Linked DNA regions of Elephas maximus indicus. The protein of the gene in region 1 binds, or shares a complex with, the protein of each later gene. Links are inferred from orthologs where the notes say so. Each region holds a gene or a part of one and is shown on either strand. Other genes may lie near its edges.

The links. The genes of interacting proteins can lie anywhere in the genome.
Region 2: DRC7 (region 1) and IQCG share a complex: the UniProt entries of both Homo sapiens proteins name them as parts of the nexin-dynein regulatory complex. The link is inferred for Elephas maximus indicus from reciprocal best matches to the Homo sapiens genes DRC7 and DRC9.

The regions. Positions count from the first base shown.
Region 1 is NC_064839.1:24,569,679-24,577,058, forward strand, and holds the start of DRC7 (dynein regulatory complex subunit 7), read left to right. Parts: upstream 1-4,364; 5' UTR 4,365-4,438; exon of another isoform or gene 4,439-4,633; intron 4,634-7,380. Other genes in the region: ADGRG3 (adhesion G protein-coupled receptor G3), read left to right, coding at 526-806, 1,013-1,106, 2,193-2,467, 3,527-3,633. UniProt on the Homo sapiens protein: Component of the nexin-dynein regulatory complex (N-DRC) a key regulator of ciliary/flagellar motility which maintains the alignment and integrity of the distal axoneme and regulates microtubule sliding in motile axonemes.
Region 2 is NC_064819.1:17,037,486-17,044,731, reverse strand, and holds the start of IQCG (dynein regulatory complex protein 9), read right to left. Parts: upstream 3,021-7,246; 5' UTR 2,622-3,020; intron 1-2,621. Other genes in the region: RPL35A (60S ribosomal protein L35a), read left to right, coding at 4,065-4,075, 4,278-4,430, 5,706-5,850, 6,427-6,450. UniProt on the Homo sapiens protein: Component of the nexin-dynein regulatory complex (N-DRC), a key regulator of ciliary/flagellar motility which maintains the alignment and integrity of the distal axoneme and regulates microtubule sliding in motile axonemes.

The DNA of each region.
Region 1 (7,380 bases):
GCCAAGAAACTCCTATGACTCTGTCACACAGAATCGCTATCAGTTGAAATGGACTCAATGGCACCCAACAACAACAACGAGGGGCCTTCAGAGTCAGCCTCCTCAGAAGGAAAAGTCTAAGGGGAGTTCTGAAGGTGGAGGAGGAGTCAGCAGGCAAAGAAGTTGGGAGGGCCTGAGAGGCAGGGACAGGCATTGAGAGCAGAGTGAAGAGCGTGGGTGAAGTCCAGGAGGTATGAAAAACAGAAGGTGTTCAGGGAATTACAAGGTATACAGTTTGGGTAAAGCATCAAGCCAAGGGGTGAGGCCGGCAGGACCTGGAACCTGTAGGGTCCTGTGGGCCATGAGAGAGGTCCTGAACTTGAACCTGAGTGCATTACAAACTGGCTGCTGGGCAGGAATGGAAGCTGGAAGATCAGGCGAAGAGCCAAGGGCTCATGGTGGAACAGAGGAGGTGGGGTGGAAAGGCCTGGGTGCCCCATGAGAGTTGTGGCCCCTTGTGCCTTTCACTGGCCCTTCTTGGCCCAGGTTCTTCCGGCAGAGGTTCAAGTCAGAAGATACCCCCAAGATCCATGTGGCCCTGAGTGTCAGCCTGTTCCTCCTGAATTTAGCTTTCCTCATCACTGTGGTGAATGGCTCGCAGGGCTCCAATGCTGCCTGCTGGGCTAGGGGAGCTGTCTTCCACTACTTTCTGCTCTGTACCTTCACCTGGATGGGCCTGGAAGCCTTCCACCTCTATCTGCTTGTCATCAAGGTCTTCAACACCTACTTCGGGCACTACTTCCTGAAGCTGAGCCTGGTGGGCTGGGGTAGGTGCTATCTGGATTGTCAGAGGAGATGGATGGGGTGGACATTCCCTCCAGCCAGGCCCTGGGGGGCCGGCTAGGGGCATTTCCCTGGGGAGAGAGGAGCTGTCAGACAGGCTCAGGGTTCAAGGAATGGGCAGCTGGAGGGGTTCTGGAGGAGGGCATGCCCAGGGAGGCTGCAATGCCTTAACTCCTCCCCTTGCTCCCAGGCCTCCCTGCCCTGGTGGTCATTGGCACCGGGAGTACCAACAGCTATGGCCGCTACACAATCCAGGACAAGGAAAACCGTACCATGCTGGAGCTGTGAGTGGCGGCTGGGGGAGCAGGGCTGATACCAGGTTCCAGGCTTCACATATCGGAGCCGGAGGGAGGGGGAATGGAGGGAGTCCTAGGACGAGAGATTCAGTGTGATGAGGCCAGAAAAATCTTCAGACCCAGCTAGCTCATGGCATGCAGGGGTAAATTGAGGCCTGGAGAGAGGAAGGAAAATGAGAGAGGGGAGCTGAAAAGGGGGAAAGAGAACTGAGCCAGGAGGCAGAATACTGGGCTCTAGCCTGGGCTGCCACTAGCCCATACAGCGCCTTTGGGCAAATTGAAAAATGTGCCCCACCAGACGCTTAACCTGGTAAGTGGAGGACATGCTGGATTTCAGCTCCCAACTGCCCCCTCCACCCATTGTACAGTGCACAACCTGCCCAACCACTTGTAGCAGCCCTGGTCCTAGTCCAGGCTGTACTCTTGACGTATTGTGTGACCTTGGCCAAGCCCCTCAGGGCAAGCTTCAGTTTCCTCATCTGTACCATGGGGATGATCAACATGCTCTTTTAGAGCCTTTTGTCCTTGCAGTACAAAGTGGAGCTGAGCTGAGCCTTCAGACTCCTGCCCTGGCATTCTCATGGTGCCCACCCCTGAGCCCACAGCCAGCACAGAGCTGGAAAGGGCCAGCAGGGCCTTGGGCCTGGCCCCAGAGTATCACATCAGGGGCCAAAGGGGCTGGATGGGAACTGTGGTGGAATGGCAACCATGTACCTACTCACTGAGTCTTCAGGAGGCCGTTTGGAGCTGCCAGATGTAGGGTTTTACAAGAGAAGCTGACATCTGGATATTTATGCCAAACCTGTTTTTTAGAGGATAGCTATTAATTCAATTTTTTTTTTTTTTTACAATATATGTGGAGCATATGAAACATGCCTTTGGGGCCAAATTGGCCCTTTTGCACACACGGTCTAAAGAGGCCCTTGAGCACCTGCCCCAGGAGGAAAGCGGGGTAGGTGGGTGGAGATAGGGGAAGACATTTTGGTCTTCAAAGGTCAGTCAGGGGAGACTTCCTGGGGGCTTGCTGGGCAACGCTCTCCTCTCCTTGTCCCAACGGCCATCCTCTTCCTCCAGGTGCTGGTTTCGTGAGACGACTGCCCTGTATGTCACCGTCCATGGCTACTTTCTTATCACTTTCCTCTTTAGTGCCATGGTCCTCGGCCTGGTGGCCTGGAAGATCTTCACTCTGTCAAGTATCACAGCGGGCAAGGAACAGGGGCTGAACTGGAAGGGGGTTCTCACTGTGCTGGGCCTCTCTAGCCTGATGGGCATGACGTGGGGGCTGGCTATCCTCACACCCCTGGGCCTGTTCACCATTTATATCTTCGCAGTGCTCAACTCCCTGCAAGGTGAGGCACCTGTACACACACACACACACACACACACGAATGCACGCGCGCGCGCACATACACACACAGGAGCTTTCTGTGCTGGATTCTAGTGTAATTCCTTAGCACTATCTTCCAAATCCCTGCTGTCTCTCAGTTTATCCCATCTAGTTATCTTGGAGCCCTGGTGGAGCAGTGGTTAAGAGCTCAGCTGCTAACCAAAAGGTCAGCAGTTCAAATCTACCAGCGACTCCTTCGAAACCCTATGGGGCAGTTCTACTCTGTCCTATAGTGTCCCTATGAGTTGGCATCAACTCGACAGCAACAGGTTTTTTTGTTTTTAGAGTTATCTTGACTGTTAAGCTTTTTTTTTTTATTTCAGAGATCCTATATTTTTACTCTTTTTTTTATTGTGATTTAAGTGAAAGTTCACAATTCAAATCAGTTTCTCGTACAAAAACTTATACACACATCGTTATGTGACCCTAGTCACTCTCCCTACAATGTGACAGCACACTTCTTCACTCCAGCCTGTATTCCCCGTTTCTACTCAACCAGCTCCTGTCCCCTTCTGCCTTCTCATCTTGCCTCTGGACAGGAGCTGCCCATTTAGTCTCATGTGTCTACTTGAGCTAAGAAGCACACCCCTCACCAGTATCATTTCATGTCTTGTAGTCCAGCCTAATTTTTGTCTGAAGAGGTGGCTTCGGGAATGGTTTTAATTCTGGGCTAACAGAGAGTCTGGGGGCCATGTCTTCTGGGGTCCCTCCAGTCTCAGTCAGACCATCGAGTCTGGTCTTTTTACTAGAATTTGAGGTCTGTATTCCACTTTTCTCCTGTTCCATCAGGGACTCTCCGTCGTGTTCCCTGTCAGGGAGGTCCTTGGTGGTAGCCGAGCACCATCTAGTTCTGGTCAGAGACCCTATTTTTAATTTCCAAAATTTCTATTTGGTTCTTTTCTAGAAATAGGTTTCATTTTTCCCTGATTTTTTCCCTAATGTCTTTTAAGCAGTTTTTAAATAGCCCCCCTCCCTGCATGTCCCCACCCACAAGCTCACTGCTACCCCTTTTCACCCCCAGGCATCTTCATCTTTGGCTGGTTCGCTGTCCTCTACTTCCCTAGTCAGAGTGCCTCCTCATCTGCAACTACCCAAGCCGACCAGACCCACTCGGTGTCTCATGGATAAAGAGGCTGCCAAGTGGCTAGGCTGGGAGCTGAGCCCTGAGCTCTGGACTCAACTCTGACTTACTGGGTAACCTTGGGTCAGTCCCTGCTTCTCTCTGGGCCACAGTCTCCTTCTCTGCACACTGTGGCTGAGGAGGGGAGATGGAGACCAGGTTGGACCACGTGGCCTCAAAGGTCCCATCCAGACGCATCTGTGGTTCTGAGAGTTCATGAATCCAGGAATGCAGAAGGTTAACGCGCTCATAATCCTGGGCCCCCTCCCAGCATACAGTGATGCCTCCCCTCCCTCTCCTGCTCACCTTGGTAGCAAAGCAGCCATTCTTTGCCCTTACCCACCCTCTGGTCTCAGGAACAGCCTAAGCTTAAATAGGAGAGTCTCTTGTAGGCACAGACCCTTGAAGGAGCCCCAGCCTCTCCCCTTACCCCTGTCACTTCCCTCTCAGACTCCAACTTCTGGCTGCTTGTACCTGTGAGGGGAGGTTTCCAGGAGGTCATTGTCCCCTCAGGCATTGGAGGAGTTGTTGGCTGAACTTTTTAGGTGGGGGGTTGATCCTCCTACCCAGCACAGCCCTGGTTTCTGCAGTCCCACCTGGGTCCATCCTCCCTGAAGAGCCTCTACCATTCAGGGGCTGCCAGCCTTCAAGATGTCTGGGGACATGGCTTCAGAGAACGTCACAGACTCAGTGGGTATGACACCTCAAGCAAGTCTGAGTCTCCACTCTGACTGCCAGGCGGGCAGCTGGACCTCGGATCTGCAGTCTTTTGGGAGTGGCCAGACTGTCACATGCATACTGCACACCTGAGGGGTGAGCATTTTTGCTCCTGTCTGTTCAGTGTGTGGGTCAGGGGGCTGAGGGTGGGGGAGCAGGCTTGGCATTTCCACCAGAATTGGAACTCCAGTGGAGCAGGAACCATGACTGCCTCCTCACTGTTTCCGCCCAGCCTGAGCTCAGGGCCTGGTGCAGTTCAGGCCCAGAATAAATATTTGTCAGTTGAACGAATCCATGTGCAGGTTTGGCTCCAACCTGACAGGGCCCTGAGCCAGGAAGTGTTTCTCAGGCCAGATCAATTTGGGTTTGTTGTTTTTCCTCGTGGCTGTCCCTCCATGTCTCCATTGCATTTTGGTTTCTCTGGTAGGAAACAAAAAGAGATAGAGATCGTAGAGGTAGAGGTAGAGAGAGAGAGAGAGATAGAAAGAGAGAGAGATAGAAAGAGAGAGAGAGAGAATTAGCAGACAGGCTAACACTGAGAGAGAACAGAGACAGAGAGAGGAGGCAGCCCCCTGGCCTGCCCCAATCCGAGGGTGGCGAGCATTGATGTCAATTCCCTCCTCAGGTCCCACCTCACAAGTTCCCGACCCCATTAGCCTTAACTCTAGCCTTAACTTACTAAGTGCCGTGGGAAATCTCACCCTCCCACACAACCTCTAACTTTTCCAATGTGCTTTGGACACTGCCAAGTGCCTTACACAGGAGAGAAGTTATTATTACTAGACCCTCCCTCACAGCCCCAAAGCTGTGTGAGCTACCAGCTGCCTCCCCCTCCCAGGTGCTGGTGCTGATGTCTGACAGGAATGGAGGTGGTGCTCCCAGAAGCCCTTGCTTCCCCCTCCTCCCACCCTGCAAACAGACAGGAAGGCTTTATGCAATTCACTGTGTTCCTGGAAGGGAAATCCTGAGGTGTGCACACTGCATCTGTTGAGCCTCATTATCAGTTTTTGTGGACAAACTTGCTAGGTTTCAGACTTATCTTCATAGACATCTGTTTTTCAAGGGGAGGGCTAGGTGCCCTGACATCAAAGTCTCAGAGTTAGCAACCTGTGCTCAAAAGGAACAGCTGTTCCAGGGTCAGACAGGCCTGAGTTCAAATCTTGGTTCTGCTACTTAGGGTTTGTTACCCTGAGAATGTCACCTCACCTCCCCAAGCCTCAGTTTTCCCCTCTGTAAAATGGGGATCATAGAACGTCCTCATCTTGTCCAGAGAGCATTGAGACGACAACAGTAAAGTGCCTGACAGTAGGAGTAGGCTGACTCTCCAAGGCCTCCTTGGTTAAAGAAAAACCAAGCAGAACCTTCATGAAAAGCAAATCATGACCCTCCGCAGCCTAGATGTAAAATAAGAGCGTGAGGTTAAAGGTCCCTTCCAGATTTCCTCTATAACTCTGCCAACAGACCAGCTCTGCACTGGGACAAGGAACTGGAGCCCCAGAGAGGCCCAGCAACCTGCCCAGAGCCACTCGGCAAGTTGGGCTGAAGCTAGGGCTAGGTGCCCTAGGGAGCCCTGATGGTGCAATGGTTAAGCACTCAGCTGCTAACCAAAAGGTGAGTGGTTCAAACTTACCAGCCACTCTACAGGAGAAAAGACCTGGCAGTTTGCTTCCGTAAAGATTACAGCCTTGGAAACCCTATAAGGTAGTTCCTCTCTGCCCTACAGGGTCACTATGAGTCAGAATCAACACGATGGCACACAACAACAACAACAGGCGCTTCCCGAGCTGCTGACACCTCCTCCCAGGGCATTCCCTGGATTCAAGAATTATCGTCTTGTCCCTGACCTCCTAGTCTCAAGGGAAACCCTGGCCTGTGGCTTTCTCAGACATGCTCACCAGTATGTGGGGCTAACCAAATCGCAGGCCGGAATGGGCTCATTTCCTGGTACAGATGGGGAGATGTAGCCAACTTTGGGGTGTGCTCCTGTTCTAGCTGGTTCTCCACCCTAGGTCCAGGCAGGGGCTGAGGGGCTAGGGTCCCTTATCACCTGGGGTCTCTACAAACTGTGGCTCTGAGGGTCAAGCTGGACACTGTGCTGAGGCCAAGAGGAGTTGTGGCAAAAACATATCCCAAGGCCTAGAGTAGATGGACAGGGTTCCCAACCATTGAAGGGTAACAAACACAGCCCAGGAGGTGGGATGGCACTGAGGGTGAGAGTGCAGACCCTGAGGTCTGCCTGCCTGGTCCAAATTCTGCTTCTGCAACTTGCCTGGGGCAAATTCCTCACCTTCCTCAGCCTGTAAAGTAGGAGTACCTGGATGGTGCAAATGGTTAACTAGCAGCTGCTAGCCAAAAGATTGGAAGTTCAAGTCCAACCAGAGGTGCCTCAAAAGAAAGGCCTGGCAGTCTAATTCTGAAAAACCAGCCACTGAAAACCCTATAGTCTGACACACACAGGGTCACCGTGATTTAGAACCAACTTGATGGCAATAGTTTTTTGTTTTAAAGTAGGGATAACAGTAGCTGCCCAAAGGGTTGATGAAGGATTAAATTAGAGACCAGTGGGCATGTGTGTGGCTAAGCCAGGCTTTGTCCTGATCATCACCTTATAAGGTCTTAGGGTCCCGTGGTGCTCCAGGTGCCACAGGGAGTGTCCTCTTCACCTCGGCACCCTGCCTGTTCTCTCTGTTCTGCCCAAGTTTCTTCATTTCTAGTATTTTTTCATTATAATATAAAATATACAAGGAAATAAGATGTATTTACTCTGTGCTCTCAGATAGACAACTTAATATTAAAATATAAACCCCCCTCACAGAGAATTTATTAATTCAATGAAATTACAATAAAGATTCCAGTTGATTTTATTTTATAGACTCTCAAAAAATTTATTCTGTGGTTTATATGGAGGCATGTAGTCCTCAAAGAGCTAAGTCAACCTTAATGAAAGAAGGGCTTAGAAGGAAGACTTGCCTCCAGATATGAAGACATTACAAGGCCACGGTGGCAATCTGTGCAGGAATAGGCAAGACCACTAGGGA
Region 2 (7,246 bases), on another chromosome or scaffold:
TCTAGACTGAAAAGTAAGGGCTGTTTTCAGTGTGACTTTGTCCACAATAAAGTGGTCCCAGGGAGGGGGGTAGTACAAATATGTCTCACTTGATAAACATCTTATATATAAAACTTCAATCATATAAAACAGAATCTTTGTGTAAAGTGACAAAAGATGCTCCAAAAGAGCCGAATTTTCTGGAGCAGGGGCAGTCCTAGGAAGAGGTAGCAGGGTGTTATGCGTAATTTTGTTCTGTGGTTACGCAGTTGTTTCTTTCTTTTTTTCATTTTTTAGGCTTGAGGCATAGGTAGACTGTGCTTTGTGCAGATAAGATATGGCTGTGCTTCCCTAGAATGTACACACACACACACCCATTTAGTTACTATGTGTGATAAAACCCATTGCCATCGAGTCATTCTGACTCAAAGCGACTCTATAGGACAGAGTAGAACTGCTCCACAGGGTTTCCAAGGAGCACCTGTGGGATTTGAACTGCTGACTTCTTGGTTAGCAGCCATAGCTCTTAACCACTACGGCACCAGGGTTTCCCTATGTGTGATACATCCTGATATTTTCTATTCTATCATTTTTTAAAGATTTATTTTATTTTAGTGAAAATATACACAGCAAAGTCTACACCATTTCAACAAATTCTACATGCACAATTCAATGATATCGTCTACCATCTTCAAGTTGTATAACTGTTCTCACTCTCCTTTTCCAAATTATTCCACCACCATTAACATAAACTCAAGGCCCGCTAACCTTTCGAGATGCTGTTGTCGATTTGATCCCGTAGAGATAAATCTTTGAAAGAACACAATGCGCAACGCAGACATGCTTTACTAATTAAGCTAAACTTGTTTGATTCAAAGCAGACTTCAGGGGGAAGTATTGGTTTGAGGTCTGAGGTTTAGATTATCTCAGGGCAATAGTTTTGGGTGTTGGTTCAGCTTCAGTGGCACCAGAAGGTCTAGACTCCACTGTATTCCATCATATTTTGTTTAAACGAGTATTTCGCTTTCAATGGACTAATGGAGTATCACTTGCATTTTGAAAAATGCCTTAGACGACACTTTCCCAAGTAGCCTTCCCCTGACACACCAGGCTGGATCAGGATTCTTCTGTTCAAGGGCTCACAGAACCCTCCTCAGAATCTGTAATGTTTATGTCCGTTTCCCCCACCCCACGAAAGCAGGAAACGTGACAGCAATGCTCACGACTGTATCCTGTGTCTGCACTGTGCTCGGTACATAAGTGTTTGTGGAGTGAACGAATGAACAAATAAATGAAACTCACACTGAATGTGTTATTCCTCCCAGCAGTGCTTACTTTTGGAACTTCATGGAATTCAATTTCTTGGACAGAGAAAATCTGATGGGAGAGTGAGGTACAGAAACCCTACCCTGATGTATTTAAGAGAGAATCTGATTTTATATGTGACCTCTATACAACTACTTTATAAAAACCTTGGAGTCATTCCTTACTCTTCTCCCTCTCACTCTTCATCCATCATCAAAGCCTGTCGGTTTTACATTTAAAATACATTCAGAATTCCAATACCTGCCATCCCTGTCTACACACCATCATCTTCCAAAAGGATCATGACAACAGCCTCCTAACTGATCTCCTTGCTGGTGCCCTTGCCTCCCTTAAGGCAGATAGTCACTCCTCTGTACGGAAAGCCGCAGTGATTAGGAGCTCCGCGCCTCACTGAAAGGTTAGGGGTTTGAATCCATCAGCAGCTCTGCCAGAAAAGGATGTGGCAGTGTGCTTCCATAAACATTACAGCCTTGGAAACCCTATGAGACAGTTCTACTCTGTCTTACAGAGTCGCTATGAGTGGGAATCGACTCCATGGCAGCCGATTTTGTTTTCTGTATGGAAACCTCAAATGGCTTCCCATCTCAGAGTAAAAGCCTCCTTTGCACTGGCCGCCTTGCTTTTTTTTTTTTCCTCCATATATGTTAACACCTCCTAATTTGTCATATGGAAACCCTGGTGGCGCAGTGGTTATAGTTACAGCCGCTAACCGAAACGTTGGCAGTTGGAATCCACCACCTTGGAAGCCCTATGGGGGCAGCTCTACTCTGTCCCGTAGGATCGCTATGCATCGAAATCGACTCGACGGCAACGGGTTTGGTTTCAACGGGTAATGTGCCATATATTTTACTTGCTTTATTGTCTGGCTCCTCCTACTAGGATGCAAGCTCCATGAAGGCAGTGATTTCTGCTTTCGTTTGTTTACAAAAGTATTTTCAGGGTCTAAAACAATGCTTGGCATATTGCAGTCATTCAATGAAATATTTGCTGAATAAATGAAAGAATCCACAGGGCAATCCAAATAAACTCTCAATAATTAGGAAATGTAAATCTCTGACGTCCACTAACCCATCTCTTTCTAGTCTACCAGTGTCTACTGAGGGCCTTTTACGGGTGTACACGGTGCAGGGCACGCTCAGTTTGTCTGACAGCTGAAGGGGTCTTCCTAAAAAGGTGATAGGTCTTCTCAGGGCAGTCCTCCTTACCCTCGGGGTCAAAGCGAAGGACGGAGGAAAGAATTTAAGTCATTTCTTGAAAGGTGTAAAGGACTAGGGAGAAGACAGGAGGAATTACAAACAGGGAAAGAAAGGAACGACCTCTCCTGCCTTTGCGCTCCCGGCCTTTCTCTTCCAGGCGAGGGTAGGATCCGAAAGTGAGTCTCCGTGCGCTTACTCCTGTGTGGTGGAAAGGAAAGATGCTCCCACGTTCGCGAACCAATTCTGCGGTGTCCAAGGCGGGGAGAAGTCCTTCAGTCCGGCTTCTACTTTTCCACCTACAGCACCCTAGGAAGCCGGTACCAAGCTAGGGTGTTTCTATGGCAACGCACAGCTTGGGGGACCTTTTCTTCTCCCCCATTAGCTGGCTACCACTTTGCCTCCCTCTGCTCCCAAATAACGCATGCTGCAGCCTATAAAGATGAAAGAACTTTGGCAAAGAATTGTAAAAGTGCTCTTGGATGTAGGCTGCGTCAGTCCGAAGACGATTCCTGACGCTTGTTTTTCTGGCGGACGCGGAAGATGCCTACTTGGGGGCAGGGAAGAGAGGTGTTTATCCCACAAGGCAACGCGGCGGGTCTTGGTTTTCCTTTTTCCGCCATCTTGGAGCCTGTAGAGGTGAGGGAAGCTTCAGCTGCTGAAGTTTGGGAGCAAAATAGCTGGGGTGGGCTCATCCATATGCTTCGCGAGGCACCGGTGCAGCTTGGGGACCCTGGTAGTCAGTGGATTTTAAGGATTCCAGCGAGAGGGAGGGCAGGATGGCAGAGATGCGGGGTTGATGGTGCTGGTTCCCTGACGTCCGGGGAACGGGTCCTGTAATAGGAGTAGATTCCGGGCCAGAGCGGAGTGAAATAGGTGCACTTCGTTTGGCTACAGGTGCCGATTTAAGGCAGTGGGTCCTTTAGGTTGGGTTCAAGTCCGTTTTCTGTTCGGATACGGTCCTCGATAAGTCTTTATTTTTCCTGAGTTTTTGTCTGTTGGTCATGACATGATTTTTCCCAGGGCTTCCTGTTGAAATTTCTAGGAGTTCGTCAAGTATATATTTTTGCCACCTTACTTTTTCTTTATAGGAGCTAACCAAAAGGTTGGCGGTTGGAACCCACCGGCCCCTGCACGGGAGTAAGATGTGGCAATTAGTTTCTGTAAAGATTACAGCCTTGGAAATCCTATGGGACAGTTCTGTCCTGTATGAGTCGGAATCGACTTGACGGCAGTGGGTGTGTTTTTTTTTTTATTTCGTGAAGGGTATATTTTTGCCACTTCGGATTTTCTTTGGCCTCTGCATTTTTTCCCTTTACTTTGGAGTTTCCTTACATATCAGAGGCTTTCTGTGAGGCTTGGTTGCCTTAACAGACCTTTCATGTAAATGTTATGGCATAATTAATGTTTTCTTTTACTATTATATGAAATGTCAATCAAAAACGAATTTGTCTAATGTGCTTGAGAAACGAGGGGGCACTTGGTGGGAAAGTTGTGTTGCCAGGTTGTGAACTGAGTCTTTTTTGTTTAAGGCCTGCTGGGAACAGGACTTCGAAACCGGCAAATATGTCTGGAAGGTATGAGCTTTAAATATAATTGCTTCGTATATGTAGTCTTTTGTTGAACATGAACCTAAATGTGAGTTTAAAAAGACCAGAAAAATTAGATATTTGCTGTAGGTAACTTGGGTTGGGGGCCAAATTATACCGGTGGTTTGTTGAGGTTTGACAACATCTTTTAAGAGTTTACCGTTAATGTTACATATTTTGTGTATCTTAGGTTGTGGTCCAAGGCCATTTTTGCTGGCTATAAACGGGGTCTCCGGAACCAGAGGGAGCACACAGCTCTTCTGAAAATTGAAGGTGTTTATGCCCGAGACGAAACCGAATTCTATTTAGGCAAGAGATGTGCCTATGTGTACAAAGCAAAGAAGTAAGTTTATAATATTGCTGTGCTTTTCAATTTTTAATTAAGATCTGCCTCATTTTTCTGTTGAAAGAAAAATAAAACATAGATGTTGATAAAACAATTGATTCTACTGTGGCTTCTTTTGAAGTCTTTAAGGAATTCATGGGATGTTGTAGAAGGACGTTATTTTTGTGGATGGTCTTGGATTTCAGTTACTTCACCATGTAGAGAAATTACAGCTGTTCTTGTTTCAAGGAAGAAGCTAATTCCTGATAGTGTGATGCTCATATGGGTTTATAGAGCGCTTTCCATGTACCTTAATTCATTTAGTTGATTTCCTAAAATTATATGTTTTATACATGTTGAAAGATGTTACATGTCCAGAGCAGTGGTTCTTAATCCTGGATTCTTAATCCACCTCAGGCCAGTTAAGATCTCTGGGGACATACTTCATCCTGGTCCACTGCCACAGCTAGAGTGATCCTTTAAAATTATCAGACAGATCACATGTACATTGCTCAGACTCATCTCATTCAGCAAAAGCCAGAGTCCTTAAGGGGTGTCTAAGACCCTTTGCAATCAGGCCCCGTATTTCCTTTCTGATCCTAGGTAGGATTCAACTCCTCTCCCTCCAATCTCTTTTCTGTTTTCCGGCAAATCAAGCAAACTCTCTTCTCAGATTTTTAACCTGTCACTGTGAATCAGAATTGACTCAACAGCAACAGGTTTTTTTTATTTTGGGGGTTTGGTTGCCTCTGGAATGGTCTTTACCAGATACGTGTATGGCTTGTTCCCTCACCAGGTCCTTTATTCCATCGTCACCTCAGTGAAACCTTCTGTGACTACTTGAAATTGGAAGCAGTTCTTCCCTCTCACTACATGGAAACATCCAGTTGTTAGCCCCCTTTGTTTTTTTTTTCTCCTATATTGCAGCTATTATCATCTCATGTTCCACATATTTTACTTGTTTATTATTGTGTTAAGCCTGTAAAAAGGGCTTTTGTAAACTGTAGCATGCCTTGCCTTTACAAAAGCCCCTGGTGTACAGTAAAAAAACAAAACCAAACTCTTTGCTGTCGAGTTGATTCCGACTGATAACGACCCTAATAGGATGGAGGAGTAGAACTGCTCCACAGCGTTTCAAGGAGTACCTGGTGAATTCAAACTGTTGGTATTTCGGTTACCAGTTGAACTCTTAACCACTGCGCCACCAAAGAGGGAACAGTGTGTAGCCGATAAACGTGTAAACTTTACTGGTATTCTGAGTTCTCGTGCACTTTCCACTTCTCTTTAAATCAGCAACACAGTGACTCCTGGCGGCAAACCTAACAAAACCAGAGTAATCTGGGGAAAGGTAACTCGGGCCCATGGAAACAGTGGCATGGTTCGTGCCAAATTCCGAAGCAACCTTCCTGCTAAGGCCATTGGACACAGGATCCGTGTGGTAAGTAAAATTATTACCAAACTAGCCCTCTATGTAGTCAAACTGTGTTCAAGGGGTTGGGATTTGATCTCTAAGGTCCATTCTGGTACTGTGATCCTGCTTAGTACTGTGTTACCTGTAGATTAGGCTGCCAAACTAGTGGCCACAGTTTAAGTGGTAACTATTACAGAACATCTGACTGTTAAACCAAAAAAGGTGAAGGCAGAGTGTTCAAATGGATTGTGCTTAGATTGCAGAGTTTAGTAAAGCTGCCTGGGGAAAAAATAGCATTTAATAATTTTCCTCAAAGATGTTTATTGGCCACTGAAGTAGGTGTTAGAAAATAAATTCACATCTTTTTTCTGGGATAATTCTTAATATTTTCCCATCCCTTCATCCTCAATATCAGTGTTATTAGAAGAATAGCCTTATTTAATAGATGAAGAAAGTTGGTATTTTTCCTAGGCCCAAGACTCTGGGCCAAGTAAGTTATGAGAAAATGGGAAGGGATTTGTCCACATTGTGGTACTAGTTTTTTTATAACATTTGTGAATTTACATGTAGTCACCTAATGCTCTTGTGTTCTTTTCCCCCCAGATGCTGTACCCCTCAAGGATTTAAACTTACTAAGAAGTAAATAAATAAAATGGTGGCTTTGTTACTTGTTCTCTTATATTTTTGTTAAATGGTTTAAACGCTTTCCTCTAAATTAAATTGCTATATGCTTAAAATGGACATTGAAATAAAGGACTATTGGAGTCGACTAATTTCACAGGGAAATTGTAGTGCTATATGTCAGTGGAATTACAGAAACTTAGAAGACAACTCCTCTGGGGGGTCTTAATGAGAAGAGGATAGGGTGGGAGTACCTGAATACAAAGCCTGACACAGATGGGAGATATGGAGGCTTTGGTTGGATAGTGGAAAAGAGTACCTTGAAAGTTTTTTACGGTGATGGAGCATCTGAACTCAGCCTTTGAATAACTTTTTGAAGAATGGAAAAACACTGTATTCCAGGAAGCACATAAACTTGGGGGTGGAGGTTTGGAGTGGCAGTTGTAGTCAAGTGGATTCCGATCCATGGGACCCTGTGTATGTCAGAGTAGGATTGTGTTCCATAGAATTTTCGGTGGCTGATCTTCTTGGAAGTAGACTTAACCGCCAGGCCTTTCTTCCACTCCCCAGGGGCTCCCTGGTTTACTATATGTACTGGTAACTGTTCAGTTCATTAGGTTGAGTCAGTTAATGAAGCTTAAATTTATTTTCATGACCTCTTAAAAGCACTTGTAGTAAGCGCCTGTTTACTGTAGGCTGCTTGGTGAAATTGTGACTTTTGGGAATTGGGAGGGATATGGAGATAATATTGAAAGGTTTTGGCAGTTGTTTCAGATAGGCTGAGATGAGATATCCTTGGGTT